4 linked regions of the Arabidopsis thaliana genome follow. The protein of the gene in region 4 interacts with the protein of the main gene of each other region in a pairwise test. Each region holds a gene or a part of one and is shown on either strand. Other genes may lie near its edges.

What was found.
Region 1: the proteins of OFP16 (region 4) and FBH4 interact in a two-hybrid assay, tested with the Arabidopsis thaliana proteins (one large-scale study listed by BioGRID).
Region 2: the proteins of OFP16 (region 4) and EIL2 interact in a two-hybrid assay, tested with the Arabidopsis thaliana proteins (one large-scale study listed by BioGRID).
Region 3: the proteins of OFP16 (region 4) and KAN3 interact in a two-hybrid assay, tested with the Arabidopsis thaliana proteins (one large-scale study listed by BioGRID).

Annotation. Positions count from the first base shown.
Region 1 is NC_003071.7:17,609,385-17,618,205, reverse strand, and holds FBH4 (basic helix-loop-helix (bHLH) DNA-binding superfamily protein), read left to right. Parts: upstream 1-4,614; 5' UTR 4,615-5,042; coding exon 5,043-5,490; intron 5,491-5,754; coding exon 5,755-6,011; intron 6,012-6,117; coding exon 6,118-6,297; coding exon of another isoform or gene 6,298-6,315; exon of another isoform or gene 6,316-6,410; coding exon 6,411-6,476; intron 6,477-6,560; coding exon 6,561-6,692; downstream 6,693-8,821. Other genes in the region: AT2G42290 (Leucine-rich repeat protein kinase family protein), read left to right, coding at 1-36, 577-1,214; AT2G42270 (U5 small nuclear ribonucleoprotein helicase), read right to left, coding at 7,358-8,821.
Region 2 is NC_003076.8:7,178,103-7,186,456, reverse strand, and holds EIL2 (ETHYLENE-INSENSITIVE3-like 2), read right to left. Parts: upstream 3,869-8,354; 5' UTR 3,850-3,868; coding exon 2,272-3,849; 3' UTR 2,115-2,271; downstream 1-2,114. Other genes in the region: AT5G21130 (Late embryogenesis abundant (LEA) hydroxyproline-rich glycoprotein family), read right to left, coding at 1-489; AT5G21125 (uncharacterized protein), read left to right, coding at 1,029-1,409. UniProt on the Arabidopsis thaliana protein: Probable transcription factor acting as a positive regulator in the ethylene response pathway. Could bind the primary ethylene response element present in the ETHYLENE-RESPONSE-FACTOR1 promoter.
Region 3 is NC_003075.7:9,845,278-9,854,828, reverse strand, and holds KAN3 (Homeodomain-like superfamily protein), read left to right. Parts: upstream 1-3,901; 5' UTR 3,902-4,130; coding exon 4,131-4,695; intron 4,696-4,833; coding exon 4,834-4,910; intron 4,911-5,690; coding exon 5,691-5,736; intron 5,737-5,814; coding exon 5,815-5,899; intron 5,900-6,110; coding exon 6,111-6,171; intron 6,172-6,560; coding exon 6,561-6,695; 3' UTR 6,696-6,896; downstream 6,897-9,551. Other genes in the region: AT4G17700 (uncharacterized protein), read right to left, coding at 1-48, 146-286, 466-507; AT4G17690 (Peroxidase superfamily protein), read right to left, coding at 7,722-8,702. UniProt on the Arabidopsis thaliana protein: Probable transcription factor that regulates lateral organ polarity. Plays a role in lateral root formation and development.
Region 4 is NC_003071.7:13,644,471-13,651,525, forward strand, and holds OFP16 (ovate family protein 16), read left to right. Parts: upstream 1-3,228; 5' UTR 3,229-3,381; coding exon 3,382-4,116; 3' UTR 4,117-4,532; downstream 4,533-7,055. Other genes in the region: AT2G32090 (Lactoylglutathione lyase / glyoxalase I family protein), read left to right, coding at 30-98, 451-681, 793-868, 1,107-1,138.

The sequences.
Region 1 (8,821 bases), 4.0 Mb from region 4:
TCATTAACAATGGCAGCTTGTACTCTGCCTTACATGGTAAAACACTAATCTTTTTCCTATTTTGGTGCTAATTCTGCATAAATCTACCACTAGTTATAAGGTTTTTATGTGTACTTGCTCTGACTATAAAGTGGAGAGCTTTTTTTTTGTCTTTGTCTGATTGTGTTGTATTGACTAACATGTTCGCTTCTTCTCATTGTTTTATTGTTCAAAGCTTTACTGTGTTTACATGTGTTGAAACTTGAAACAGTAGAACTCGATGACAAGCATACAGATTTGCTTCTGTGTAGCATTATAGTATGTGGTCCTGTTATTTTCATGGGAAAACTTAAGTCGAGAATGAGTTAATGGTAGTCTAGAGAGTGTTTAATGTGACAGAAAGAATATTTCTTTTTGGTTCTTAGACAGAGATTAGTTTATGATCCGATAGATGTGTGTTTTTCATAGTTAACCTCTGCTTGATCTGCCTTGGGAAGTTAGTACTCGTTGAGATTTTTCCATTTTCCTGAGATATGCTGTGCTTTGAGTATCATGTATCACTGGTTTCTGAGACGGCATTTGAATTTTTTTCTGTAGGTGGACCTTCGAATACTCGGCCTACACTCTCTTGGGCTGAGAGGTTATGTATAGCTCAAGGGACTGCTCGGGGTTTGATGTATATACATGAATACAGTTCGAGAAAGTATGTTCACGGCAACCTAAAATCAAGCAAAATCCTGTTAGATAATGAGCTGCATCCTCACGTCTCAGGATTTGGTCTCACACGACTGGTTTCCGGCTATCCCAAAGTCACTGACCATTCACTATCATCCATGACGCAAAGTATAGACCAAGGATTTGCCACAAGACTCTCAGTCTCAGCTCCTGCAGCTGCTTACCTTGCACCCGAAGCCCGAGCTTCTTCTGATTGCAAATTATCTCACAAATGCGATGTTTATTCTTTTGGTGTGATTCTATTGGAGCTGTTGACTGGTCGATTACCTTATGGTTCCTCTGAAAACGAAGGAGAAGAAGAACTCGTGAATGTTTTGAGGAAGTGGCACAAGGAAGAGAGATCTTTGGCTGAGATCTTAGACCCAAAGCTTCTGAAACAGGATTTTGCGAATAAGCAGGTTATTGCAACCATCCATGTCGCTTTAAACTGCACGGAAATGGATCCAGATATGCGTCCTAGGATGAGATCTGTGTCTGAAATTCTAGGTCGGATCAAATAGGAATTAACCACTTCTTAAAGAGCCGGGATTAATTAGTTGTGTATGTATTAGTCTCAGGCTAAGTGGAGTTTTGTAGTTTCTATGGCAAGTTTAAAAGGGTTTAAGGTTTATTTCCGGATCAAGTGTCTGTCTCTGTTTATCATCACATGTACCTTGTGTCTTAAGGAAGAGAGTTTGGTTGTGAAATTATTTGCCCCTTCTAGAATCTTACACAGATAATATTAATAAGGAAATTATGATAAAGATCTTGTTTCAAACCTTATCAGGCTTTGTAAGTAAAGATTAAAATACGAAAAAATGTTGACAATCCTTGCAATTTGCATGATTGATCCTATCTTTCCAAAACTCAAAAGAATTATATAATATCACCAAGTGGGTTTATAAATTATACATGTATTTTAAATTGTTTGTTTTCATTGGTCAAAACTTATATTCGATTTTGATAGATGCATAGATTTTTTGAAAGATCATGGTTAACAAAAAAAAAAAAAAGAGACTCAATAGCTCTTTTGTGAGCCTGTTCTAATTAAATATTATGAAAACGGGAAAATAGATTATACTCAATCGCATGATTGCATATCTCTTGCGCATGGGGGATGTGAAATGAAATAAATTTGAACCGATCGTTAGCAATAACATAAGAAATGAGAAAGAAAGGCAAAATCAAATCTATTTCGAATATAATTTTTTGTCAGAAACATCAAACATGATCAGATCCCACCGTTGGTCCTTTGTTCAAATTGACAACAAAAAGTATGACTTTTATAAACCAAAAAGAGAGAGATCTTCATGGCAAAACATATCTTGCCCCCAGCACGATTGATTAGTTCCAAATTTAGCAGCCCACTCGAGAAAATTAAATAAAAAAGGAGAGAAACACTTGCTTAATATAGAAGTTTCTTTTTGGAAGAAAATAAAAATAGTGAAGCCCCCTTTTTGAGCTTGTTGACATTATAAAAGCCAAAGCTGGACCACGATTCCCCACTTCTATCAATGTAATCTATTTTTTCTTAAGAACATAAAAAGATTTTTAAATAAATTGATGGGAATCGTTTTGTTTTTTATATTTATACTACTATCAAACAGTATAAAAAACAAAATGTACACAACAACATTGAGAAACTAATGGGGTCTCACGTGTCCATGTTCCCATCCACATAGCCACGGACGGGATTTGCTTTCTAATTTTCCACATTTCTTTAGGCCAAACCTTTATAAATGGCACTTGATATTTGCTTCTTTAATTTCAATCTCTTTTTTTTTTTCTTTTTTTTTTGGGTGTTTTTCCCGTTGTATCCATTGCATTTAGAAGAAAATTGTTGAGACCACTGATTTTCTTCGAAAAAGAACTTCAGCAATGAAGAGTTTGTTTTATGCACGTCTTTACAAAAAAAAAAAAAACTAAGAGATTATGACCTGCATTGAAGTGAGAGCACTTGAGAAAACTTGTGTGTGATGATTTGGAAAATAGTTGTTATAGATAACTAATCATATATTGGTATATATGGATTCCTTTGAAGAAATACTGGTTTGATTTGAACAAAAACATTTGTTACGTATGATTAAACATACTTTTCATTGCACGGTGATACGAAATTTTGATTCAGTTGAATTAGATCAATGTAGTTTTGAGTTATATTTTTTATGTTTGCCCATTCGTTAGTGATATAAAACAAAGTATCATCAGTATATAGCTAGTTTCGAGATAGTATGTACAACTTTTAAATATTAATTACCTATGCTTAAATAGTAATAGTATTATGTATGTGCATGTGCTTTGTACATACAATTTTGTCTTCTTGTTGATTAATTATTAAACAGCTCGAAGTTTTAAGACTATGTAGCTTAGCCTATGTCAATGTCATCAATCTATATGCAATATATATAGAGCCTCAGGCACATAAACCGTAGTCCCCATATAAAAAAGGGAATGAAACAGCTAATAACTCCATAGAGAATAAATTCACATTCAAAGCAAATTCACCACCCCAATCTTCTCAATGGTTCGGTTTCTTTTTTCAATTCTTACATTGTACTAAAAGCTAAAAATTCAGACTGATACGATACGAATAGGTTTTTGAAAATATAAAAATTAATCAATTTCCATTAAAGGGCTGAATAGCTAAAAACTCCATAGAGAACAAGTCGCTTTATTGGATTTAGATTTTAAAAAGACGGCGCTCGTGAATTATTAAAGTTTAAACTAAGATAAGATTTAAAGAGATTTAGAGGAGACGTAATCTGGTGTATATCGTTCACATAGAGTCACGTCACTGTATAATCCATCGACCACTAAGGTTTTAGAGTTTAGTTTCAAATCTTACTTTTTCATGCAGGTGTACCGTATGTCACACAGATTATAGTAGTCGCCAACTTACGTTCCCAATGGGTGATAACGGCGTCAACGTCCTCCGTCACGATCGTGTCGTAAGCTGTACACTGTATAGGTTCCGTGAACCTTAAAATCGGATTTGGAAAGCTACGTACGTACGTAAATATTGGTTAAAAAGTTCAAACAGTTTTGATCTCTCTTTTATTACAAACAAACTGTACTTCCGACAATTTTCTTTCTTTCTATTTCAAGTACGTTTTCGTGTCTAACTATATTAACATCTAACTTCTGACTTTTATACTCTGATGGGACAATCTTTAATTCTTAAATTCTAAGTTGTACCATGCGAATGGATATTAGATTTTGTCAGTACAATTGCTGACTATGAATGAAGTACTCTAACATCATTATTGGTTCCTGAATAATGAGTACTTAAACAAAACAAATTTGAAGTAACGTAACCATGACATATTAGATCCATGTCCCCTAAAACGTATTAAAATTATTTCCTTACGTCGTTAAATTTCGAATCTAGTGTTAAATTGTTACATTGGTTGTTAAACTACCGACCCAATAAAAAAAAAGAAACTAATATTTATGATTGGTGCATCTTGTTGTAAATTGTAATCGTATGGCCTACCAGCGATTTCATTGTCCCCAACATACAGATATTTTTGTTCGTGTGTTATAAATTAGGGTAGAAACATCACATATTTTACAGAGACAAAGAAAAAAACAAGAATCGTAATAAAATGATATTATGGATACATGTAGATTATAAGATGAGAAATAATAATTTGTCACGGGTCCATCAGTATACTCGTCAAAATTGATTAGGTAGGTAATTTACTTCACATGCTCTTCCTGTATACAAGTATAAAGTATGTATTTTCATCTAAAATCTACTCTTTTCTCAATTACATTTTATATAGAAAAATTCATATTCTTAAGAAATAGTAGTAAAATTGTTCTTGAAAAAAAATATGAAAAGGCATTTTCCGTGACTCAGCCTCACAGGCGGCTTAAAACGACGTCTTTTTCAATTTTAATAAATTTTTGGTAAAAAAGCTTTTGGATCCGCCGCTATCTTCAGCAATTAAAGTTGGACGCAGAAACTCAGAAGCAAAAAGACGATAAATATTCATCATCACCTTCATCTCTCTCTTCCTCTCATCAGACTTCACCGTTCTTCTTTCTCTCTTCTTCATCTTCAGACGAAACCTCCTTTACTTCCCCTTCAAGGTTTTATATTTCCCAAATCCTACACCTGCTCACATCTCAAGCTCAAGTTTTGTTTTCCCGGGAAAAGTGACACAAACAAGAACTTAACAAGGGAGAAGAAAAAGCTTATATTCATATCAACGGTTGACGTTGGAAAGCTATTAAGATTTGGTTTTCTACAAATTTGTTCTTCCTGAAACGTCACGAGACAGAGCTTACAAGAAGAGAAAACAGAGGAAATTTCGTTGCATTTTTTTTACATATTGATTCGATTAATGGATTCAAATAATCATCTCTACGACCCGAATCCCACCGGGTCGGGTCTTCTTCGTTTTAGATCAGCTCCGAGCTCTGTTCTCGCCGCTTTTGTTGACGACGACAAGATTGGTTTCGACTCCGATAGGTTGCTTTCAAGATTCGTGACCTCTAATGGCGTTAACGGAGATCTGGGTTCACCTAAATTCGAGGATAAGTCTCCGGTTTCGTTAACGAACACCTCTGTTTCATACGCCGCCACTCTGCCGCCACCGCCGCAGCTTGAGCCGTCGAGTTTTCTGGGTTTGCCGCCGCATTACCCGAGGCAGAGTAAAGGGATAATGAACTCGGTTGGTTTGGATCAGTTTCTCGGTATCAATAATCATCACACCAAACCAGTTGAATCTAATCTTCTCCGTCAAAGCAGCTCTCCAGCCGGAATGTTTACTAATCTCTCTGACCAAAACGGTACCGTTTTGCTCTCTGCTACAAAGTTTTTCCCCCTTTTTTTAGTCTGAAATATTTTTTTCATTTATAACAGAAGTGTTTTTGGTACTTCTTGATTCAACTTTTTTGAATGTTTTAACACTTGCTTCAAGATTTTTGAATGTTTTACGTTCCTTGAGAATAATTTTAAGACAAGATCTGATTTGATTTTGTCAACCATAGAGTTAAAGCACTTTGGACTCAACAAATCTAATAAGTGTTTACTATATACTTACAAATTTGCAGGTTATGGTTCAATGAGGAATTTGATGAATTACGAAGAAGATGAAGAGAGTCCATCTAATTCCAATGGATTAAGACGCCATTGCAGTCTCTCTTCAAGGCCACCTTCTTCACTTGGAATGCTTTCTCAAATACCTGAAATCGCACCCGAAACTAATTTTCCATATAGCCATTGGAATGATCCATCCAGCTTTATTGATAACTTATCCTCACTTAAAAGAGAAGCCGAGGACGATGGAAAATTGTTTCTCGGAGCTCAGGTAACTCGGTTATCTAACCGGTTTGTTTTGGTTATTGATCAGTAGCTGAAAGTGGAGTTGATTTCTTGGAGTGGTTTCTAATGATGTTTTTGATGGGTTTCTACAGAACGGAGAGTCCGGGAATCGTATGCAGTTACTGTCGCATCATTTGAGCCTACCAAAGTCATCATCGACAGCCTCGGACATGGTTTCAGTGGATAAGTATCTTCAGCTACAAGATTCTGTTCCTTGTAAAATCAGAGCCAAACGTGGTTGCGCTACACATCCTCGAAGCATCGCTGAACGGGTAACTTCACCTAGTTAAGGCCATCTTTACATATATCAATGGAAGTCCATTTGAAGCAGAATCTAGTTTGTTTTCAGAAAGCCTTTCCTAAGAAATCTTGTCAATTGTGTCAGGTAAGAAGAACGCGGATAAGCGAGCGAATGAGGAAGTTACAAGAGCTTGTTCCTAACATGGACAAGGTACAGTTTTCAGGAACTTCCTTGTAATGACTTTTGATCATAAACAAATTGTTAAATGATGTTGTTTTCTTTATGTTTTAACAGCAAACCAACACTTCGGATATGTTGGATTTAGCTGTGGATTACATCAAAGATTTACAAAGACAGTATAAGGTAAAGTTCCTGATCATTGTGGAAAAAAAACAAAGGGGCCTGTTTAGTCTTCTGTTGAATTGATTTAGTCTTCTGTTGGTTTTACACAGATTTTAAACGACAACAGAGCTAACTGTAAGTGTATGAACAAGGAGAAGAAGTCAATATAGGGCGCAACAAAGTGTGTAGTAGATAGGACTAAAAAGCAGGGAGAAGGACAAGAAAGAAACAATGTCATGTCTGAATATTTTTTAGCCGAAACAGACCAAATTGTCTATGTAAGCTCTCGAGAAAAGCATCTGCTTCCAACAAAATTCTAAGTAATAAAATAGTACTCGATTTGTTCTTATTTCATTATTACAATGCAGAATCTACTAATCAAATGTTGTACTACAAAAGGTAAGATCAACTACGGTAGCTAAATGCGAAAATTATGACCAGAAGAACAAAGAAAGACTCGAAAACTAAGCAGAAAACATAAATTATTCTTCCATGTGATCTGCAGCGTCAGAATCTTTGATATCACCAGTAAGACTACTCCTGGTCACAACCAAAGTAAGAATCACACATGAAGTAGAGTGTATACGACTTCTCTCCTGGTTCAGTTGGTACTGCAAACTCCAGCTACGATGCAGAATCTAGTAAGCAAATGTTGATATTACAAAAGGTAAGATCGACCACAGTAGCTAAATGCGAAAATTATGACCAGAAAACAAAGAAAGACGCGAAAACTAACCAGAAAACATAAATCATTCTTCCATGTGATCTGCGGCATCAGAATCTTTGACATCAACAGTGAAAGAATACTCCTGGTCACAACCCAAGTAAGAATCGCACATGAAGTAGAGTGTATACGACTTCTCTCCTGTTTCAGTTGGTACTGCAAACTCCAGCTTCACCTGCGCCTTCCGTTGCAGGGAGATTCTCTTGATGGCCATCAACTGGTTCGTCTTGGCTTCTCCAACGACTAGCCACCAACCTTCTTCTTTAGTCTTAGGATATCTTGGCGCGTCCACAGGTCCCACCTCGGTCCTTCCCTCCATGTCTCTCTCCAGTAATACCTGCAATGTGATATCTTTTCCAGGGCTTACCTCGTTACTTCCCACAATCTCATATGTAAGGTCAATGTTGGGGAAGCGGTTGCAGAATCTGGCAATGTCAAGAAGCTGAGCGTCTGACATTTGGAGAAGCTCTTGGCGTTTGTCATCTTCCATTTCCACAAGATCAAATATGGTTTCAATGTTATTCCCCGGATTCTCATGGCACCTTTTGGCTAAGTCCTTTGTGAAGTGAGGAAGCTGCAGAAGCATGGAGTCTCGATCCCACATGCCTTGAGTCACCATCTGGCTTACTTCCATAGCTAAAAGAGCAAGATTCAGACAGCCATTGCTCGATATCACATCGACCATTGCTTGAAGAAGCCTTGTTGCTGATAAAAGGACCTCACACTGATCCATTACAAGGTTCCCGCTGATTTTTTGCCTTGAGAAATGCGCCTGAAGAAGTGCGCTTGTCTTCACACGAGGGTCTGTGCATCTTGGGTTTTGAAAAGAGAACCTCTGGTGATTGATGAGTCTCCGAACTGCGTCCTCTTCACCAGGACGTATAGGAATCAAGTCATACTCCGAAGCTGAAGTCAAGATCTCAAGAAGACCCTTCATCTTGGTCTTGGAAGCCAAGAGAGAACTGAATCGCTCAATGGTGGTGTAATTTATGTAGTAATATGACGCAATCATACCAAGATTGAGAGGAGAGAGATCCAACTCATTGTCTATTTCAATGCATTTACTCACTTCAAGATCAGACAAAGTGTTTTCAACGAGCTCTGAGAGGTGATCAGATAAATGTCTGTGGCTCACTCCCAGGAGATTGTAGTAGTTAGGGTTCTGGGGAAGCCTCCTGTACATGAAGCTCCAGGTAAGATAATCCACAGCATCTTGTTTGTTCTCTATAACTCTAGCAACTACTTCTGCATTGAAATTATCATGCAAGAAATGTTGAAGATGACTCTCAACCGGAAGAGCTTCATACAAAAATTTCTTGTAATACTCTTTACGTGGTGCATGACAGAAGATCACACACTTCCCAGCGTCGTCAAGCAGAGGTCGGCTACCACGCCCCATCATTTGGAGCAGATTAGAGATGGGGTAATCCGAATGAGAATTTTCCCGTCCATCGTAGAAATGTGTTCCCATTACAACAACCAAATGTGC
Region 2 (8,354 bases), on a different chromosome or scaffold from region 4:
GAGTTTACCTTTAACGTTCTGAGATCGCAACTTGATTCTGATCACCGGAGAAAACGGAGAAGATGACGTCAGGTTGATTCCGGTGACGGAGACTCCACTCACGGAGAACTGTGGCTTATGCGGCTGGTAAACGAGGTAGAAGAATCCGAAGGCAATCGCTGCGAGGACGATAATGATGAGTAAAGCAGAGAGGGAATAGCATAAACATCGCCGGCAACACGATTTGTTTGTTTTCCGGCGAGAGAGATACTCGTAACGGTGAGCATTTTCCGGTGGAGGAACACGGTAGATCTGATCCTTAGGGAGTTTGATGACGTAAGTCCCAGGCGGTGGTCCTATTCTTGATTTCTGAGAATCGACGGAGTATCGGCTGGAGGAACTATCGTTGGTATCTAGCGATGGATGCTTTATTCTGTGAACGTCTTTGTTAGTTAGGAATCCGTCGGAGTTTGTATCGCCGGTCATTTCTTGTGGTTTCTCGACCGTCATTTTTCTTGAATCAGAGAAATAATGCGAAGCAGATGAAATGAAGGTTTTGATTTGGTGACAGTAAGGATTTGGAGTAAATCATTTTATTATAAGATAAAGAAAGTGCATATTTGGAGATTAGGACGTGATTGCATGAATATCGTCCAAATATCATTTTGGAGATTCTTTTAATAACAATTATTTAATGAGTATATATTATTTTGTTGATTATCTATTAAATTTTCCATTAGTACAGATGGAGAAAGAAATTGGAGGAACCTTGAATGGAAAGTTTTAATAGAATATACGGAATGTAAAAATTGGTCAATGTAAAACATTTTTGCCAAGAAAAAAAATTGAAGAAGAAAAAAAAAAAAAAAAAAAAAAATATTGAAGAAGAAAATGAATGAAATAAAGTAATAGACAAAAGAGCTTAACTTGACTGAAATGAGAGGATGCAGCCAATCCTAGCATGGAATGGAATAGTGGTAAGAAAAAACCGGTAAGGATTTGATCATTTGAATAAATACAAATTTGTAGATGAGTGATGTGATCATTATATGGGAGACGATATGGGAGGCAATAACAAAGGGCATCTTCAAAATCAGTACAGAACCGACTGGGCTCAAGTCTTGGATTATGTATCGAACCAAAGCAAAGTAGAGCGGAGAGCTATCTGTCTCGCTATGCTCTACAAACCACTGTCTATACAATTTGAAAGGAGAGGAATGGAAGAAGGCACAAAAAGGAACCACATCCGGGGGCTCTTATCACAAAATGGATTTATAAACAAATTTGTATTCATATTTCCACCATTCGAACAAGAGGAGATAGACGGTACGACAAAGCGTATCAAGCATGGATCCTTGCTAGAGTTTAAGCTCCTGAGGTCACCAAACCAAGCTGCTCTTTTACAAGCGTTTTTTTTTTTACTCTTTTAGATCTTTTTAAAATTTATTTTCAAACTCACGAACCACTAAATTGTACAACGAACATTTTTTTTTTGAATATAATTTAACATTAGATTCAAAAAAGTAAATATGATCATTATAGTGAATTATAGCAATACATTGAATTTTTTTCTTTTATAATCAATTGTTTCGATTTTCTTTATTTGTATCAACGGTTGTATTGGAAATATTTATATTTCTTGTAAACTCTTTATAATATAAGTATTTGATTTGCCGAAAAAGGTATAGTTTTATATAGTAAGGTCTTCACATAGTTTTATTTTATGAATTTAATATGCGAAATATCATTTAAATATTTCTGAAATTATTCATATTAACTTTAAAATAGCATATCGTCAAACTTAGTTTATTTGATTTTTCAATTTGAGATTTATATAGAAATACATCTTTTAACCATTAATCTCTTTTAAAGGCACAAAATTAATTTAACACATAAAAAATCTGTTATTTATAGAAAACAATTCCCTATAAAAAGACATAATAAAAAGACATAAATAAAAATATTATCATACCAACAAAGTTTAAATTATTTAATATTAAAAATGTCTACAAACGCCTTCTTCCTTGAAGCCCAAGGCGAACACAAATACACACCTCTAAAGTCTAAACAAATAAAGCATTTTCTACTGTTCTTTTGTCAAAAAGAGAGGCTCTTCAAATCACATAATGAATTACTTTGAATTTGGTTATTAACTTATTATGAAACCTAATCTTCTCCATTGCTACATGGGCTATGAAATGGAGAGATCAAAAACTGTGTTTAATGAGAGAATAAGCAAGAGACAAAGCTATAAAGACTAGAAAACATAAAAAGAAAACTCTGAAGCTTTCTTTACTGAATCCAAGATGTGGGCAACTCTTGCCCTTGATTATGCAGATTGTTCTCTGTTCCTACTGTTTCCTCACCTCCATTGAAGTCAGTAGGTAAGACTAAACCAAGATTCTGATTCAGCGTCGAAGGAGAAGGATTCAAATCCTCAACCAAGTCATCGTTGCCTCTTTGTGGAGCTTTTGGTCTGTAGAGATCGTTGGGATGATTAAACTGGTCTTGAAAGCTCTGAACCTGCTGCTGCATCCCGTTATAATCCGGACAAGGAACCATTAAACCCGTCATACCATAGGGTTTAGTTGGTTGGTAGAAGGAAGTGACTTTATAAGGACAAGTCATTTGGTGATTCTCTCTTAAGTTCCTGTCAAGAAATCCCATATGTGGTTGGCTATAAGGACAGAGACTGTTCTCACATGTTAGGAGTGTTGGATGCATTGGCATCCCAAAATCTTCTTCAAACTTTCTCTTGTAAACACAGTTGTAGTTGTTTTCAAATTCAGGATACTGCTGATTGGTCCGATGAGTGCCACCAATCAGTTCAACATCATAGTCTGTAGATTCAGGAAACAAAACATCTGGGTCTCCACCGGTTGCAGGAACAAGAAAGTTAGAAGTGTTGTTGTTTTCTCTAGACATGGCTATTTGATCAACAATAGCCTTTTCTCGGTAAAGAGCAGCGAGCCATAAAGCGCCTTCTCTTGACGTCATTTTCTCCTGCAAACTTCTAGACCGTCTCACGAGATTGGGTATGTTGCTAATGTCAGAAGCCATATGTCTGATTACACCAATCAAAACACCAATTTTCCACAGCTTCTTGAGATCATGAGGCTTCTTGTAAGGTGGCGGAACACCTCGAAAATCAACGGGTAAAGACAGTTGATCCCACCAATCTTCTTTCCCCGTTGGCCACCATGGCGGTGTCACGCCTTTCTCCAACGGAAACCGCCTCTGAGGAGGGTTGCAGTGAGGAAACAGAGCCGATAACAGAGCTCCAAGAGTAGTATCTTGAAGCTCAAGCAACTTCTGTGCGGTAGAATCCCCAACCTCAGACCCTGAATCACTTCCATCAGAAAGATTGATATCCCTTTGGTGCTTGATTATAGCAGCTGGGCCGTTCCTATCAAACCTCACTTTGTCTTTCCACCATTCACGGAGATTATCAGAAGATCCCGCTACCGTTTTCCCATTCTCTAACACAATCCCATAAACAAAACCTTGAGCTTTATATCGCTCCATTGTCTTCGACATGTACTTCAAGATCCCATCTTGTGCCTTGTACATGGTTCTCTTACTAGAGTGCTCTGGAAAATCATCATGTTGCTGCTTCAACAACAATCTTGTTCCTAGACCGTTCTTCGCCATTTCCTTGAGCCGCTTTAAACGCTGCTTGTCTCTCCAGATCTTCTTCTCAAGCTCCTCTATTTCCATTTCCTCATCACTACTCAGATCATCGCACAAAGCCGTATGCGAATCAGAACACATATGTCCCTCTGTAAATGGAGGCGCCGAGCTACAAACTAAACTCCGGAACATCCCTATATTGTTGTTATACATATCCATAGAATCTGCAAATAATGTCATCAACTATGATTCACTTTAAGAATAAAATTGCATAATCATCGTCATTTAGTAATGCCGTATTTATCAAAATCTAAATTAAAACTCTCTAGCAATAACATAACACAAAAGAAAAAAACAGAGACTTTTAGTGAAAGATCGAGAGATCTAACTTGTGAAATAAGATTCATCATATGAATAACACAAAGATTTAGAGATCCAAATTCCATTAGTTATTACTCCCAAGGGATTGAATAAATACTATAGGAAAACTACTACCAAAGAGATTAAGTACATAATATAGGAGAAATATTTAGAGAAGGTAAAAGAAAATCACAAACAAGATTAATGGTTTATCATCAAATGATTATACAGTAAAAGCATCGATCTTTTTCTTTCTTTTGATTCTTATCAAAGCATATAACGACAAAACAATCCAGTCCGTATTACTACTGAAATACTTGATCTTGCAAAAGTGAAAATGGAACCCATCGGACAAAATATCAGATAGACCAAACCCAACAAGTCAAAAAACAATATTTGCAAGCAGACAATATACGTAAAAGCAAAACAAAACAAAAACAAAAATAAAGAGAAATCGAAGGAAGAAGAGAATATACCCAGAAAACTCTTGAGACCTTTGTGTTGCTTCGGCCACCAAATTCAAACCAAAGAAGCTATTGGGACCTTCAGAGAGAGAGAAGAGATAGAGACATGTATGTATGTATGTTTGTGTATCTATATATATTATGAGCATTAAATAAGAAGAGACTGCGAAAGGGTGGTGATAATAGGCCTGTAAAAACCATGCTAAACGACACATTTCTTTGTGTAAGGATATGGTAAAAATTTCTTATTTATCTCCTTTGAGTTTCATTCCATTTCTAGTTCAGATTCTTTATTTAAATATATAGTCACTTCTTTTAAAAAAAAGAAAAATTAACATGCCCATAAAATGGTTATTTCTGCCTAAATTATTTTTTGTTTGATAGCCTAAAATTATTAATATCAATATAAAAAATATAATCATGTCTACTATAAGAAAAATATCAAATGTAGATGTATGCTTAAGCGGGAAAAATATAACCCCTAAACATAAAGCGAGTATTTTTGAAAACAAATAGGAATCAAGTACCAAATATAGACATTTTCTAAGGCACGTAAATTTACTATTTTAATGGTATAAAATCGTAGCATGTAATTTTTTTTTTATAAAATATTTAAATAATAGCTTTAAATTAATTGGTGCGTATGTTTGAATTTTAAAATTTGTTAATGCATTTAATTTCATGGGGAGCTGTATCTAAATATATCGGTCTAGATAAACAAATAGTAAAACAGTAAGTAGTTCCGTACGATCTATTTATACTTTAAAAAAAACAAAATACAACCTATTTATACTAATTTACTTGTATTAGTTTTATCAATTAGTTTTTACAATGGAATTTAAATGAGATTCTTGTAGTTCTACCAAGTCCTGAATACTAAAAACTTATCATGCCCAAAGACTTACAAAATAATTACTCTCTTTGTATCAAAATAAAAACGTTTAAATTTTTCCATATTAAGAAATTAATGATTTTCTTTATTTTACTAAATCAAAAGATATTTTATGATTTATCTAATCACAGTCCAACCAATAAAAATAAAGTAAAAAATGCACATTGTCATAAAATATATAGAAATTATTACATTTTGCTTTGAAAATGTAAACAAATCACATAATATGATATAGAAAAAAATATCATAGTTTTAAATACAAAAGCTGGCAGAGTATGAAAGAAAAGGGAAAAAATGTTGCCAGTACTCACTAATTAATTCTGATACATATATGATAATGCTAAAAAAACAAAATTATTGAAGAATTCCTTAAAATAGCTCAGAATTGTGGCGCTTTCAATTTCTTACAAAATACCAAATTTCCATGATTTTTGTTTAAACATTTAAAAGCATACAATTTGACATTCTTTAGAATAGAATAAAAATACTTAGTTTACCATTTTTGTTTTTGCATTATATTAGTATATGCTAGATATAAGAGCCTTTTAAATTGCACAAGCTCATAGCATTAAAATTGAAAAGTTTCATATAGGTAAGTATTTTGTATTAAGAATTGTGAATTTTGTATTCTCTATGAATTTATGATATCTTATATATACTAATATACATTCAATCCCTTTGGATACTGGCTCTAAATATTTGACCAACAGATTGGTTTCTAGTATTACTGTCTATATATATTTCCCCATTTTCCTTTAAGCATTCCATAAATGTATTTTTAATATAAAATTAGTAGTTAACAATGTTTTTTATTTTAATAATTTTCTATTTATCCAGACCATCTCAAGAAGCCAAAATTTAAAGATGATAATATGGTGTTTTAAAATCTATTTAAAACAATCCTTTGTAGCTTATTGTATTGTTTTCTATGCTGAATTGTAAACTGTGTCATATAATTGAAGATATTATTTTTTCTTTAGACAAACAAATATATAACCTTCTAAATCACATTGTCTATATATCCAATGGACGATTATGATTCTTATGTAAATCGATCAACATTTTTCACAGTGATATTTGTAATGCACGACTCAAAAAATAAAATAAAACTCTCATCAAATATTCGTTTTTCGATTTTAAAACTCTCCCATTAAAAGATAGGTATTTGAGATTTCGTAATCTTGGCGCCATACTATAAATTGTCGGGTTTCTCATTGCAAAATGTTATATAAACTACTTAATAAATCATGAAATGTTGACCTTTAATTATGATGATATATTATCTATAACTGTTTGTATAACGGTCAACGTGTGGGTAATGAAACAGGTAATACTTTCGTTTTATTTTATTTTGGTTATCCTTTAGAAATGTCAACTAGTTATCTAAATATCATATTTGATTTTAAGTTCAAATGAGATACGGTATATAGTACAACTATATATTATAGGGTATAAAACCTATTTCAAATCAAAGAAAAACAATACCAGCATGATGTTTTTAGTATTTATTTCTTAATATGATAATATAATGTTTTCTTAGAGAAAATGTAGAAGAGGTGCAATGAATATAACCAAATAGCCAATAGGAAAGTAAACAAGTGCCACGAAGGCACGTTTCGTCGCCAGCAATGATTCTTTAAAATGTCTGAAACGTGTCTCCCGGGATTTTTTTGTCGGCTACTCCACAATTATTGGAACTCTCGTCGTTTTCCTATAAGTAATGTTTTATTAATATAGTATGTGAAAATATGCAACTATCTATCGTACACATTAACCAATTAACGACCACTCGTAAACTGTTTTTAACGTCCTTGCTTTGGCCTATATGCCTTATAGTGCCCATGTCTCTCGAATGGTCGGTCGCCAAAATTATTCAAACTCAAATCGTGTTGAAAATTCGTCAACTCATAGTCATAGAGGCTTTTATTATCTTCTTATAAGTACACTTAAAACACATTTGACATAGATTGTCACTTATTATTCAAACCGTAAAATGTCCATAACCATTAATTATATCTCAATATACTACTAGACTATGCACAGTTTCAAGAGTTTTGCGTGCTAGTAGGGCTTGAGATGTAACTAGCAACTATTACAATCATGAATCCTCTAAAAGTAAATTCCGATGAATTTATACCTGCTTCAAGGTAAATGATACGGATGAGAACAAACGGAGTTATCTTGACACCATCAACAATAGAAGGGTATTCCCACAAAGATTGATCCCCAGCCTCCTTCCTCGAAAGATACCATAAAGGATTTATGCAGCATATAAGGTATGTAGCGTTTAAAACTAAGTGACAAAAACACATTAGCAAGGCATAAAAATGTAAAGTCATGAAGATATGTAAAACATATTGTGGCCGAACTAAGCCTAGAGAATCAAATGCAAAACGATGAAGAAGCAGGCCTAGACATTAATTAGTTCAACCTAAGTCCTATGCACATGTCAACGGAAGTAGCAACACGTGGCTGTCCTATGAAGGTCCATGATCTTGATCTTTCATTTGCATCCATATTCCCAATGTCGAAAGTTTGAGGTTGTAGCCATGGGTAGTGTTTTTGCTTCCATTGAGCTCATGATACTAGCAGTTTCTTTGCATTGTAGATATTGGGATCATTTGGTTAGTTTGAATCTCACTACATTGTCTTCAGTTTCTACCTATTCAAGGACAACCTATTTCTTAACTTCTTTAGGAGATAGAGTGTGAATGTCTGTCAGGTGTACACAGCTCCAAACGAATGCGGGTGAGGATTTTGAGATTATGTAATTGTGTCATCACGGTGCCCTGATTACAGTAGTGGGAATTGGGTTATAGTCTTCTAAAGCAGTCCGAGAGGGCGCAATGGATATTCGTGTTCTATCATTTTATATGCAAGGATGCAAACAATAAAAAGTTAAGACAAGTGAGATGAGTAGCAAATAGCTAACCAAACTCAATAATGTTGCTAGGCCCAATGAATCTAAGTTTAAATTCAATTACAATGGAGAAGTCTTAAGTTTCGATTGATATGAAATGTACCATAAC
Region 3 (9,551 bases), on a different chromosome or scaffold from region 4:
AGATCGATAATTGTATTTCTCTACGCAACTGAGCTGCAAGTTCGTCCCCTGACATACATATATATCAACAAGAATTGATTAAGGGAATCACTCGATTGCAAGAAGAAGAAGAACATATATACACAAGAGGAGACAAGTTTTTCACCTGTATCATATTGTACTTATGGATCCCCATCCTAGCAAAAAGGACAATATGGGCGTTGTAATCATCATTATTATCAAACTCGCGACAACCGATCACACAAGAGGATGGTTTTGTGTCCATTAAATGCTCGATGTCGAACCCCTGACACACATTATTAGCATACAGAAACTTGAGTTAGAGTTTCGGTCATATATCCAAGCAACACTAGAGGCGATTATAAATCCAAATTGAACACAAATTACTGAAATAGGGTTAGGGTTAGGTTTGTGGATAAATTCAGAGAGACATCAAACTAAAAACCAAGAAGATGAAAGAATTACCCCAGCCTCCCTCACTCGGACCAAAAACTCGTACTCCTCCATCACTAAATTTCTCAACTTTTGCTTTGCTTGGCGGAAGCAATCGGTTGACGCCTGATGCCTATAAAGGTTTAATAATCTATTACGTTTCCTCCACGCTATATGCCATTAAACTGCAGATTCATATATGGGCCTTAATTGGGCCTCCACAACCCAATGTACAATTGTCGAGTTTGTCCATTTATGAATTTTTATAAACATCGGGCTTTTGAAGAAACAAATTGTTATTAACCATCTTAATTATCTCCTTCTGCATTTGTAGGTTTGTGTTGACTATGGTAGAGGTATTCTTGAAGAAGAAGGTCAATGGTCCTAAACGAATAAATAGGACTATATGAAGAGGATGCGAGGACTCGGGAGTTTTTCTCTGAAACATAATTTTATATATTTATTTACACATCTTCTTCAGCCCCATTCTTTATGACAACGAATTTTAGGCAATTAAAAACTTCTAAGTAGACAAACCTCTATGAGATTTCCAGAGATATCTGATTCCCAAAAGTAATAAAATGTTTAGTGACCCTAAGCTTTTTTAGTTGTTCGATCAAGTAGAAACTTGGCCAATGCGATTCATTTGTGGCTAGATTTTGTGGCCCAATAAACTTTTTGTGAAAAAAAACACATATGTGCATATTAATATAATTTCGTGAATTTTGTTATACTAATCAAACAAGAATTAGTAAATCTTAGTATTTTTATGTTTTGAGTTATATGTTCGTTCACACACAATAGAAAATGATTTATTAAATAATATGTATCCATATATACATACACACACTAACAAAAGGTTGTTCTTAGGCATTAAAAAAATTGTTTTTACATCCCAAATTAAAACAATGATTGATTATGTCTTGTTTGCTTAAAATTTCCAACAGTAAACAGTCTTAACCTCAAATATTTCCACATGCACCAAAACCAAGAACTCTTAATTCATTTCCTTAAATTTTGTCTTTGTACTGATTTTCTATTACTTTACTAACCATAAATATATATATACTAGCTAGCAAACAATGAAAGTGGTAGGTCTTTATTCTTTACATGATTTTTAATAGTTGATGGAATAGTAAGTAACCATTATTACTGTACAAAAAGCTTATATCTTCCCCACAGCATTTAGATGCGTAAATTATTGTCATTTCTTACAATTGACAAAACAAATTCAATAATTCAACTTGCATCGTATAATCCTAATCTTAAAAAATTATCAAACCAATAACACACCAATCTACTAAAAAAATAAGAATTCCTCTACCATAACAATATTATTATTAAAAACAAATTCCTTACAGTCCAGTGATACCAGTCCCACCCAATATGAACTTAGTCAAATAGTTTCATTTTATTACATGACACACGTATAACCAGCTAGCTAAGATTAGGTTTTTCTTTTTTTTCCCTTGTAGATTTTAATTCATTTCTTTTAATACCAGATAAATAATTTTTCGACTTAAAGTTTGCAAGCAACTCTTTTGTCCGAATAGAAATGTGGGTTCTTATCAAATTCCCCAAAGTTAAGATTTGCTTAAAATATCTCCCAAAAAAAGATTCGTGGGGGCAATTATTCTATAAACTCCAAATCTTTCTCCTCTACTCCTTTATTAAGTGTGCTTCTACTTTTTCATTTTTCAATCAATCTTTTTCCTATTGTACTTCTCTTTTTCATCACATTATGAAGGAAATATATATATATATATATATATATATGTAGGAAATTGATTCGTATATACGGATAACCTTACGAAATAAAAATCTAAAATATACAACAAACTGTGTGCCCTGAAAGGTCTTACAATTTTACACTAAGTGAAGTGGACAGCATGCTTTTCACTAGGTTTCACTCTTACGTCCCCGTGTCGGAGTAACTTACTCAAATTGATGGGAACCTTTGTTCTCTATTTGACCACTATAAATTTTCAATAGTTTTTGATATTTCTCCTATTTATTCGTCACTTAAGTCCGACCCCTCAGAACTTATCATGATTAGTTTCTTGTTTGTATGTGACGACGAGAAGAACAAATAAGATTCATTGCTACAAAACTCAAGTACTAGTGATGATAGTTAATCGCGGATTGCTGAAAAACAAATAAGATTCGATTAATACGATTTATTTAATGATTCGGTTAAAAAAGAATAAGATTTTATCTCCTAACCTAGTAATGTTTTTGAGCTTCTAACTTTGTCTTATGCATCGTCGGTTGGTAGTGCCTCCAATCAAGTAAATTAAATTATATTCTTTAATCTTATTTTCTCTATCGATTTTCCATAAAAATTCCTTTCCGTTTGTCTTATATCGTTCCTCGTGCTGCCGGAACTAAAACTGGAAAAAGGTTCGACTTTTACGGAAACCTATTTTTGGATTCAGATTTTCTTAGTTTAATCAAATATGTGAAAAATATAAAAAAAAACAAATGAATCTAAGGATCGTCCCCAACATTATCTGTCGATGTATGGGCTTAGGGGACATGAATTATCAAAGGGCGTTTTGGGAATCAAATCTTGGACTGTCTATCGGTGTCACTAGGGCCAAAATTAAATTAATGTCGTATAGTATTTTGATGGAAATGAAGTTAATGCTTCGTGGAATAAAAAACCTTTAATGTTAACTTGTTTTGAAAATTACTAATAAACATAATCGAAACTATATACAATATATATTTTAAGGTGATATCTCACTGTCAATGTGATATTATTCTTTTCCCATTTCTTATTTTCCTTAAATTTTATCTTATCACGTAAACAAAATCACTTTCTCCACAAACAATATATAGAAGGAAAAAGAAAAGCTTTTTCAGGTATTAATTAGACGCAATATCATATTCAATTTATTCTTAGGCACCCAGCCACCAAGTTCGTAATGTTCGGTATAATTCCAAACTCCGATTTCAAGGAGGACAAAGAATTAAACCAATAAACAAGACAAACAACAAGTGACGACGAGACTTCAGTTTTGGTTTTAATGTATCTTCATCTCTTAAATTTCATGCAGGTGTATTTTTTATATATAGTAGCATTTTATCAACAACTAAACAAGTAGCTATGGTTGTTCCTTTTTTGTTTTCTAAGAAAATATCAGCCTTTGATTCTTATTTTAAATTTTCTACAATGATATTATCAGGAAAAAAAAACATATACACACACGCATCTTTCAGTTTCAACACAAGTGTCATTTTCACATGTAAATCTGAACACAAATAATCGAATAATTCCATACATTATTGTTTTATTATACCATCATTAAATACTGATATGTGATAGATGATATCTACATTGTAACAAAATATGCCATATAAATTGGTATTTTCCTTTACATATGAAGAAAAGGGAAAGGAAAAATTAAATGGAAATTCATGTTTCACCCAACCCCTTTATTAGACTCTTAAAGTGTCATTTTCTCAAAGGGAACAGAGAAGAAAGAGACTTCTCATTTCCCTCATACCTTTTGCCATCCCTATTTTTCTCTCTCTAATTCTTTACAACTGCTTTTCTCTTCTCACCAAGAACAAAAATTCATTAAGTTAAGAAGAAGAAAAAAAAAACTTTTTGAAATAAATAACATTATACCCCTCCTTTTTCCCATAAAATTCATCAAGATTATCTCAAAATCATTCACCAATTCTCTCTTCTTATGGAGCTTTTCCCTTCACAACCTGACTTGTACTTGAAGATCAGCCGAAGAAGAGAAGAAGAACAAGAAAAAGAAAGTCAAGAACTACAAGAACAAGAAGTCGAAAGGAGATTAGGGTTTCAGAGTAAAGCCTCAGATTTAGACAACAAGTCTTCAAATAATCTCATCCACACTCTCCAGTTCACTTCAAACAATGAAGCCACCAAGATTAATAGTAATCAAGAACACAAGGAATCTCTCGATCAAGACTTGAGATCTATTTTTATGATGAGACCAATAAGAGGAATCCCTCTTTACCAGAATCAAGTCCTTGACCACTACTACTACTCATCTACCTCTCCCAATCCTTTCTTCTTCAGTGAAGTCAACGGTCAACATGCTAGTCGTCGCTTAATCACAAACCCTAATTGTAGTTTTAATCTCCACAACCGTCATCGGCGTCAAGCTCAACCGCAGCCGCCAAGATTCACCGCCAAAAGAGGAGTAAGGGCTCCAAGGATGCGGTGGACGACGACCCTCCACGCCCATTTTGTACACGCTGTTCAATTATTGGGTGGTCATGAAAGTATTGTCCTTTTTCACTATTACCCCTTTTTATTTAATTGAATTTATATCTCTTTTTCATTTTTAACAAAAAGAATAATGAATAGGCTTGATCAAAAATTCTATTTTTATTGACTTAGTAATTATGATTAATATCCAGGAGCAACCCCAAAATCAGTACTTGAGCTGATGGATGTGCAAGATCTCACATTGGCTCATGTTAAATCCCATCTACAGGTAATCTTCTTAAGTTACAGGTACATAATGTATAGGTAAATAAATGAATTTATTGTATTATGGATTTGAATATGCAAATGAACCAAACCCACTGCACTTTTTTATGAAATGGCTAAAAGAAAAATTGTGATTAATTTGGACATGGTTAAACTTTTGGTCGCCCCCATATATATATATATATATATATATATATATATATATATATATATATATAAAGAAATTATATACAAAGTGAAGAAAGAAAAAAGATAAAAAGAGAAGGAATCAAAAGCAAGATATAGACAAAGAGTAAGAGAAAGAGTCCTTTTATTACTAGAGATGCAGTAGAAAAGTAAAAGTACAAAGGAGACATCATTCTTCAATGATGATATTTAGATTGATATGCACACATATATGTATATGCATGATTCTTCAATGATAACAAATATATAAGTTGCTGTTTTGCATAATTTGACTATAGTCAGAATAAGGCACGTAGACCCATGCACATCTCCCATCTCTGTGTATGGCTGCACATTTTCATGAATCGTAAATGCTTTCTGTTTTACTTTGATCTCTTTTTTTCTTACTTTATCCATCTCTGTCTCTGTGTGCGTGCATATCTAGGTTATAGCCTTATATACACACACGTGAATGCCTGAATGGAACAAGTCTAAACACACGAACATCACACACACATTATATATAATTCATGTGTATGTATTGATCGATATAACTATTAATTATTCTTATAACTAGCACTTATATATAATATTAGTAATCTAATCTATAATGTTTCAGATGTATCGAACCATCAAGTCTACTGAAAAACCTACAACGTCATCAGGTTATTTGATTGATTATGTATTTGATTTAATTAAATTATCTGTTAAATACTATACATCTGATAAACGTGTGTGTATAGGGCAGTCAGATTGTGAGAATGGATCACAAGTAAACAGTGAGAGAGAAGCAAGAAATCTCACGGGTCTATGGAATAACTCCTCAAGGTATGTTATGTTTTAATATTTGCCTAAGTAGAATTTAGTATTTGTTGGACAGATATGTATATACTTATTAGGCAACTTTCTATATTTGCATCATATGAGAAACTTAATATATATAATATTATGTTAGTTGAGCCAAAATCATTAGCATTATATTATTCTTTTTTGTTCCTTCAAAAAATCAATGTGATATAATTTGAATCTGTATAAACAGTGAAGCTCGGTTCCAGTTGAAGGCAAAGGCATCATCAGGTGTAGACATTTCATCCAATGAGGTAACAGATTTCAAAAATTTAACCAAAAGGGCATTGGAATAAAACGGGACTTGCAAAATTCGAGGCTGAAAAAAAAGAAAAAAAAAGTTTTTATAAAGGATTATAAGTTACTTTTTTTCTCTTCCATTTGGGTAAAAAAGTGTTTTTCTTCTTTTGATTTTGTCTCAAAAGCAGAGAAATTAAAGACTTTGTTTTGGAGAGTTGATATCTATGATACTTTATTTTCAGAACCCAATTCACTAGATTTGATTGTCTTTAAATCTTCAAAATAGTTTAATTGGAAATTTTGAAATAGAAAGCAAACTGAAAATAAAGACACAGTCTATATATGAAATGTTATATGAGATGATTCTTATAATATATAATCTTTTATTCTAAAATGATGTCAGAATGAATGGAAGAATCGAAGATGTCCAAGCAACGAACGGTTGTCGTCAGATTCGTCAAGCCTTACAGGGACAAGACCAGAGACTGAAACTCCCAATCTTGATTTCACTTTAGCTACACCAAACCTCTCTCCCTAATTTTCTTATATATACTAAAAATACATATTATCTGTTAAAAATTATATAAATCTCAAACTTAAAAGTTTATGCTTTTGAAAAAATATATATGAAATGACGTTTATTTCTTCCTTTATTCATTTTTCCTTTTGTACTGTAAAATTGAGATGCTTTTTTTTTTGGGTCATAAATTTGAGATGCTTGTTCTTGTCTTGAATGGGAATAAAATTATTTGGTCATCATTACAGCGATGCAAAGCTATGACTCATCCACGTGTCTAAATCGGACTGCTTTACTTCTTAACACATGGTTCTCTGACACGTGTCTGACACTTGTGACGTTGACCCGACGAAGACTTTCACTAATTTTTTCTTCTAATTATTCATTTTGAGTAAAGCCAAAAAAGAGAATAAAACGAAATACATTACAATCTATCCATAATTCCAAATGTTAAGAAAACTAACCAACCATACGAAGATTCTTTTTATTGGTAACCTTAACAAGAGCTTTAGACACATGAAGCATACGATGATGATAATGAAAATACGTAGTAATTACATAATCTTACTTAAATATAGTATATTTTACTAAAATTTTAGATTGGTCAAATCAAAAATACTTTAGATGAATATAGCAAAAAAGTATATTTGAACAGTAAAAATATCGGAGGCTATTTCTAGCTACAACGCAAATATCATAATCTTATGGTGGCAAATGAAGAAAAATACTTACCGGCGAAAAGGCCTTATCACAAGTTGAGCCGTTTTAATAATCAATTTGGACTTTATTCGTCGAAGTTTGGCCAACAACACTTAAAACGGAGACACTTGTTTTAAAGAAGAAGATGATGGGGAAATAACTCAAGAACTTGAATTTGTATTCTCCTCCATAAAGTAAGATCTAATGCTCTCTATATAACAAAGATTATTTGTAAATTTTAGGCACTCAAAATTGTTACATTAACTTACTTATTTATAAATACATTTATTAAAAAAAAAATACAAAGAAAACCGATCGAAGTCAATGATGTTCTTCTGTTTATGCTACTTATACGTTAAGCTTGTTGAAGTGATCACATCTACGTCTCACTTCTCCATCTTTTTCGCCTTTAACACCAACCCTGCCTAGTTTCTCCATGGCACGTGCAAAATCCTCGAAGAAAGCCGTCTGATTATTCGCATATAATTCTACAAACGGTCTCGTGCTAGGATCTTTAAACAATATATGGTCGGAAGCTAACAGTCCAAGACCTCGTTTCAAGTTCTTGAAATACATATTATCGAATTTTCCCGGTGTCACCGGATCGAGAAATGCTGCCATCGTCTTATTGGTTTCGAAATTCTTGCATAGATCTTTAAGAACTCCTGCGAATTTCGCGTTGAGTTCTGGATCAACCTTCGGGAATATCCGGTTGCTGAATTCTTTGCAGTGTGAGAATCCGATTGTGTGCCCGCCACTTAACGCAACCAGCTCCTTTAGAGTGAAACCATTCTTCTTGAATATCGATAACATGTCGGGGACGGATTGGTTCGCTAAAGGTAAATTTCCTTTGACTTTATGGGCTTTTGACTCAAAACCATCTTTACGGCCCAGTTTGACTTCATAGAAAGGCCCACCAACCATTGTGACAAGGTCACGTGTGGCCTGAGCCAGGATGTCTGCGCAGGACACCACCCCGGGACAAGACAATTCAAGAGCGGTTTTGATGCGAGTCACAATGTCGAATGCATCTCCCGGAAGCGACTCGTTGAGGTCATCGTCACGTTCGGCTTTGTTGAAAGAATTTGTAGCGATAAGGACGGAAGCATCACATCCTTCCATGAAACAATCATGGAAAAAGAGACGGAGTGTTCCAGCAGCTGTCGTTGGCTGCTGGCCTTGCTTTGGTGTAACGGTTTCACGTACGATTTTATTGAAATCGGGACATGTTTTTTGGTAATAATCTTTTGTTAAATTTGGTGGTGGTGCCGAGTATATAGACGGGACAAAGACTAGGACGACGAAGAGAACATTTATAACCGAAGACATTGTGTATTTCACGAGACTCGTATCGATTTGTGAAAGAAATATTGTTTGTAAAATATGGAAACGGAATTGAAATGTAAAGAGATGTCTATGAGGTAGACTTCTTTATTGAATTGTTATCGGTGAAATATAGAAGCATGTACGTGTGGTTGGAGTTTGGCTTTTGTTATGTTCTTTTTATTTCAGTGATTGGTCTATATTTAGTTTGTTTTTACTTTCATTTTTCATTAGAAACGTTTTCTAACACTAATTCATTATAAAATCGATTGGCTTCTAGGTTAATTAAACCACAAACATGGAATGCATGCTAATTGGGGAAATGTGAAGGTGATTAATCACTCAATTGATTTGTTTTGTATTACTACTCCTGTTTTTGAAAGAATTTTGGAATGGTGATTAATCAACTAAAGCATCTACAGAAAACATTATTGATGGTTAGAGATATGAAAATTTAAATTGATAGGCTAAACATACAAGCAAACTTTTACTTAATCTAATGTTGCTCTTGATTTGAAATATAAACAAAAACAAAATTAAGAAAAATGTTGACTTCTGAGTTCTGACCACTAAAATCATGCAACTGCTTGACAATGGACATGCCATCCATCTTATATCAATTTGTTGCTTACCTTGCCACCACATTTCTAGATTTTTATGTCATCTTGTTGACATTTATTAGTATATAAATTCCTACCATTCTTTCTGACCAACATATGCTAGAACCAAATTATTTGTTGTTAGATATCAATTTTCGCTAACGTGTTACTGTTTATAAAGTATTAAATCATGCCTATATATATTATTATGTTTCATACTCCTCCAAACATTTTGATAAGCTTGATTTTCTTTTTA
Region 4 (7,055 bases):
TGATTAGCTTTGTCCGCTTGGAACCAAACATGGCGAGTCTTGGCCATATAGCCAGAGAATCATCAGACATCACACGCCTCGCCCAGTTTTACAAAGAGGTAACGACACCTAATCGACGTTTTCAATTTCTTACACTTTTCTTTTTCTTATCTCTCTTCGTATTCTCTGTTCTGGGTTTGTGTTGTTACTACCAATTTCGACCCAAAAAAACAAACGCACTGAGTCGATTACCCATCTGGATTAGAATCTATGGTTTGTAATTTGGCTTTTTATTTAGAGATTTGTGTTGCTATTGTGGCTTTGTCTCTTTCTCTTGTCACTTATCTCGTTTCTAGTTTCTATTGAGAGTGTCCACTTTTGGATGCCTTTAATCCTTTTGATTAAGTTAGTGTTATCTTCATCTTCGTGGTTTGTTCTGAAACCAATGGATTATATATGTATAATTGTCAGGTGTTTGGGTTCGAGGAGATCGAAAGTCCTGATTTTGGAGACCTACAGGTGGTGTGGCTAAACTTACCAGGTGCTTTTGCAATGCATATTATCCAGAGAAACCCTTCAACAAATCTTCCAGAAGGTCCTTACAGTGCTACCTCAGCGGTTAAGGATCCTAGCCATCTCCCAATGGGTCATCATATCTGTTTCTCTGTCCCAAATTTCGACTCTTTCCTTCATTCTCTCAAGGTATTGTTTCTTTGGCTTGTTTACATGAGCTTTTGATGGTACAGTTATGGATATGATTGGTATCTTTCAGAGTTATTTAATCGATCCTTTCTCGTCCTTGTTATGATGTAGGAGAAAGGGATAGAAACTTTTCAGAAGTCTCTTCCTGATGGAAAAGTCAAGCAAGTTTTCTTCTTTGATCCTGATGGTAATTAATCTCTGTTTTGCTCTTAAGCCGGCTTAATAACTATTATAACTTGGTCAGATATATGTCTACTTTTCTTATTCAGCACAAGCATTTGCAAATTACAGTTCTTGTGTATTATATATTTATATGCATTGATGCTTTAGTACTTTGGTCTATCGATCCGGAACATGTGTTCTAGGATTATCTTTCAGCGATCCTGTCTGTTTCAACTTACAGATTCTGTCGTCAAATTTTGCAGGAAACGGATTAGAGGTAGCAAGTCGATCATGAGCCTTGAACCTGAAATATGTGGTATCACTACTTATAGAATGAAATAAAAGTATTGTATAAATAATCAGTTTGTTGAAATAAAATCTATATGTCTAGGTTTGATGTTAACTTGTGACAGCTTACGCCTCAAAGTTCGTGTCATGTGCTTTGAATGTTGGATGTATCGAATTTATGAGCTTTTCCTTGTCTAGTAGTTCCCATGTCTCTATTACAACACCGAAGAGATTGGGATAGTTATAATAGAGAGAGAGGACGATAGAGACCCAACTAAGAACAACCATACATTCACAACTCGAGATATTTTATTCATTTATTGTGAAGAGTTGTTTTGGTCATATAAACTCACCCGGTTCAACCCGGATTGAACTCATCAAACGTATCATTTCTAACTTCCGGTTGACTTGTATTGCTATAAAGCTTGGTCGAATCAGACCTAAACCTCAGATATCGAGGCTAAATTATGGTTGGCTAGATCATAGTCGGGTCGTAATTAAACCCAACCTGAAGTGAACCGAATTGGTGGTCATTTGCAACATCCATGTGTAGACTGATGACCCCAAAAATAGCAAAATAGAGAAAAATGTGTTTCAAAATTCCAGTCTAAACAAAATAGGGCATCAATTTGTGGGGCTAAGTTGTTGTCCATACCCCCAACATGGCAAGAGGCATAATGGTGTGAAGGCATTACAAACATTCTACAACTTACCATAATCTAAAATCTTATGATCCATCAGTCGCCGCTTTTGTGGTTCTTATTTGGTGATGGAATATTGGCGGACGAATCATGAGTAGCTTATGTAACAACAAAGTATGATGATAGCTATATTTTCTGTTGTGGCCCACATAAATTTATCCATATGAAAGATGAGTTCGAATCTTTTTTTTTTTTTCTGGTGCCGGATAACTACGCGAAGTGGTACCACCGGTCCACCCTAGCCTTGGCACGATGATAGCTCAGCTGTGCATTTCGAGTGTTATCCGATACGATCTTTACCAGTAACGAGGGATAACCCTGAAAATATATAGGCTACAAGCAAAAATAGTCGCTAAACTATTGAATATATGAAACACAACAAGTTTCAAACCTTTCACCAACACGACTTCACATTAGTCTCTATAACCAAATCATAATGAGATAATTCACAAAAACATGCTTCCAAAATACTTATTATATTGGATGCTTCATTTCCATTTTTAACTTGCTTCTATCCATTGTCTATTCTCACCCGCCAAATTACCAGCAACAGCAAGTCATAACTGATCGTTAGTCCTTAACTCCTTATTAGTTATTACTTGATTCTACATGTACAAAAATAGCCAGACTTAGTTATAGTCACTGGTGGCTAAAATATCTTTAGGACTTGATTAACAAAACAAATATTGACCGAATGACCTGCTTGGTCGGACCAGTGAAAACTCGACCTGACCTTGTGAATCGGACCGGTGGACCAAAAACCAGGACCACACTAGGGAAGTATTCGTACTTGAACTAACGTCTTTTGGCTTTACGTCATGATGAGTGGACCAATCTAGGTGGTGGATGAATTTACCTCCTCGTGAGCTCTCTCTATTCTGTAATTGCAAGGACACTCATTCTTCATGTTTTGCAGTTTTTGTAACTCTGACAAACTATAAGGTTATATGAATAAACCAAAATTTATAAATACTATCATTCACGTATAAAGAAAGACCTCCCCATGTTGAATTCAGCTTTGTACGTCAGTGTTTCAGAAAGAAAGTGAATAATTACAAAATTAGAAAGTATCAAACCAAAAGAAAGAAAAACGCTAAAAAAGTAAATATCTGATATTCAGATTCACTCGAAAGTACAATACCCTTTAGGGAATATATGTTTTGTAAACGTTTCATCAATATAGATGAAAATTAAGGATCCTAATAACTGCATTTAGTCAATAGTAACAAGTACCATTACTTTGTTTTGCAAGTCGCAACACAAGTGCATGTGGTGATTGGTGAACACATAGTCAACATTGAGACTCTCGGTAGCTACATAACGATTCTTGAAAATGAGATAAATCAGAAAATTGATAGTAATTCACTTATTCATTTATAAAAAAAAAATTTTTGGCAACATTAGTATATAGAAATTTGTAAATTACATAAGTACCCTTTTATAAACGTAATGAGACATTTGTGTATATATATGTTACAAAATAAGCCAACATATCCATTTGCTCGAGACATTTATTCTCTTAATTCTTCTCTCTCTCTCTCTCTTAAAAATGCCAAAAATCTTGTGGAAAAGCCTCCATCTTTGCTTCCCGTCAAATCTCACCAAATGCTATTCTTCGCCGTGTATTCCTCCGTCCTCCGCCGATCCCGACGGTATCATCCAACCTAACCGTCCCTCCATCGTTCTTCTCAATAACTTCAACCTCCTTTACCACAATGACAACCACCACCACCCCCATCGTGTCATTGACTTACCTTCTTCCTCCACCACAACCACTCCGGCCGCCACCTCCTCCTCATCCACGTCATCATATGAATCTGATATCTCTCCTGATGTATCCGCCGCTTTTGCTTCCCGTCGCTTCTTCTTCTCTTCCCCTGGTCGGTCCAATGCAATCACCGACTCACCAGAACCCCGGTCAAGAGAATTCTCTGATAATTACGATGATGCCACTATCACGTCGACAAAGAAGAAGAAAAAGAAGGTTTATGATAATTCCGTGACTACTACTACTACGAGGCTTATAAGCGGAGGAACCGCCGTAACTCAACACGTGGACTCACCGGATCCGTTAACTGACTTCCGGCGATCCATGCAAGAGATGATTGACGCCGCCATCGACGCCGGAGAACTTAGTCGTGATCCGAACGACGGTTACGATTTCTTGGATGAACTGCTACTCACTTATCTCTCTTTAAATCCAGCCGACACACACAAGTTCGTCATCAGGGCTTTCTCCGACATATTGGTCTCACTCTTGTCGGAAGAACGCCGGATATGCTGACGTGGTGATGGCCGCCGGGATAAAAAAAAAACTCCCGTGCAATGAATGCAACACGTGACTATTAGTTCAGTGAACCTAACTTTCTTTTTTCCAATGTACGTCTTCATGGAAGAGTAACTAAGCAAACCAGAAAAAATTATTACTGACAATTTCATATTTTGTATGTTTTATTAAAATAATTGAATGATGCAAAGGATAGAAGAATTTTGAGATAATTCATATATTTGGTTGGATAATATAAAGTTAGATATTTTATTGACGAAAAGAACTTCTTTTAAATGGTTTATAGTTTTAAAAAACAAAATTCGTTAATATAAACCGCACAATATAGCAAACCGGGATATCAAAACTGGTCCACTCCATGATTGAGTGAAACAGACATAAAAACATGTTTTTGTGTTGAACATCACTATTGGCAAAAAAAAAGAAAAGTATTAGAACTAGAAGTGAATTTCTAATGTGATATGAATAACAATAACTTGGTTCGGAGGTAGAAGTAATTAAAGAAATGGTTTAAACGTTAAAACTTATGAATTAACAAATAAATCAAAGCTAAATACGTCCAAAAAACTTTATGATAAGAGTTAAAATGGAACTTGGTTGGATCAATGAAGCATAAGGTTGAGTAGACAACAATATCACCAAGGTACAAAGCTTGAGGCATCGATAAACTCTCTAGTTGCTTATATTATGTCAAGGCATGCATGGATCGTGTTTTAAATATTACTATGTATCCATACTTTAATAAAGAGGCATATATAGTTAATGTTTCTACAATATATAAAGTAAAAAAAGTAGAAGTTTTTACTTTCTGTATGTTGCCTCAGTTCTTAATGTTGCCTTCATGGATGTATATGTATTATCGTTAAGACAACAAAAGGATGCTACTTTTTGCTTGTATAGTTGTATTGTTTTGTTTCTGTACAAAATATATAGACTCTGTAATATTGTTTTTTTTTTGTGAAGAAGTAATATTGTTTGTTACATCAATTAAATAATGAAATCTATTATTTTCCTTTGCTTCTTTCCATAAGATTTACACGTAACACAATGTGAGACAAAACAAAATAATTGAGAATCCTAAGAGACGGATGTTGGAAGGTCCACTCGACCAAATAAACTTAAAAAATGTAGCTAATACTTTAAAATAAGGGTCTAATTAAACAAAGTATTATAAGTTAGTTGGTTTAGGTGAAAGTAAGACCATGCCATTTGTCTTATTGATCAGTGTTCACTAAAGAATTAAAACTAGCCTCTAGACCCGCTCAATTGCGAGTAAAACACTCAACTTAATCTAATTAGTATAAGATTATACATTTCAACTATAAAGGGCTAAATAGCTCATATTTGTTAACACTTTGAATTCATTAGTGAACTAGCTAAATCTCATTTTTGCAATGAAATCAGCATGTCTTTTATTGCATGAAAGGTGCTTATGGGCGAAGTTGCAACTAATTTTTTTTTTTACTTTTGGTAAAAAAGTTGCAACTAAATTTGACTATGATGAGTTTACAATTTACAAAAAATAATAAAAAATGACTATGATGTTATATATTTATAATTAGAGAAAATGTGCGTTTTGTTAAATCGTCATGTATATGTAATAACTGACTATGATTTTATCGTAAGTTAAACGACTCAAAACGTGAGCAATCTTAATTATACTTTTCGAGTTGGTAAATGGTGCCTTGTTTTCTGCCGCTTGTCTCCAACTCTGCCTAACCACTTGGTTGATAATGATAAGTCAATAGAACCTATGCCACAATGTTTATGCGTGTGTGTGAGAGAGAGAACAAATTTGGGTCAAACGTACAGTAGAGTTTCATATGTCCATTTGACCATTTCGGTGCGAATTGAAGGTCATTTAGATAGGAAATTATCTGTCAACCACCTCACTGTTTTAAACGAATCAGAAAAAGAATCCGAGAAGAAATAATTTGCTTACTAGCTAGATTTAAGTGTTGAGATTTTTTTCAATGCAATTGCCATTTTCTTAGCCAAGCCTTTCTCCGAAATATCCCGTAAATCACAAAATACTTGTGATTACATCCCATAACGAGAATACATTTTATAATGGTCTAATAAACTCAAAAACTATAATAGTGTATAAATAATTTGTCGTTGAAATTAGCAAGTTGCCGTAGTCAATACAAATCATGTGATATCACATGTTACGACTTACGAGTTTAGACGATTTTTATTTATTTACTTATAAATGGATCCATGCATGTTATTTTCTGCAAAATTATACAATCACTTTTGAGTCCAATAACTTAAAAGTTCCACACCTACCTAAATATGGGTCAATCTCAAGATATGAGATCACTATCGAGACAAAATAAAAAGTTTGATACTCATGCACTGCATTTGGATTTCTTACCTTTCCTATCAAAATTAAAGTTATACGCTTTATTGAATTGTCAACAACATCCTAAACACTAATGCCGTGAATATTTCGGTTACTACTATGCCTTTACCGGATCACCACATCTTGCCTCGGCCGAGCCTCATATTCATTTTGTTGCGATTTCCATAATTCTTTAGAGTCAAATAAAACGATCCGGCCATGATTCATGGTGAGCAATTCCCTTAAAAGGAAACAAAAGTGTGATCACTTGATTCAGGAAAATTAAGGAAAGTAATCAAATTAATTTTTAAATTGTAGAAAAATGAAAACAAAATATCCAGCTGGAATAGCTCAGTAGGTTTAGAGCGTGTGGCTGTTAACCTCAAGGTCGGAGGTTCGACCCCTCCTTTCAGCGAATTTTGATTCTTTTAACCTATTAATCCCCCAATATGAAAAAATTCATTCAATATAATCCATATAATGTCCTACTCGATAAAAGTGTTGACCATCCAAATTTGCCAAGTTTTAATGAGAAGCTCAAAAACAGTTAAAAACTTGCAACACAACATATCAGAAGCTCAAAAGAAAGTGT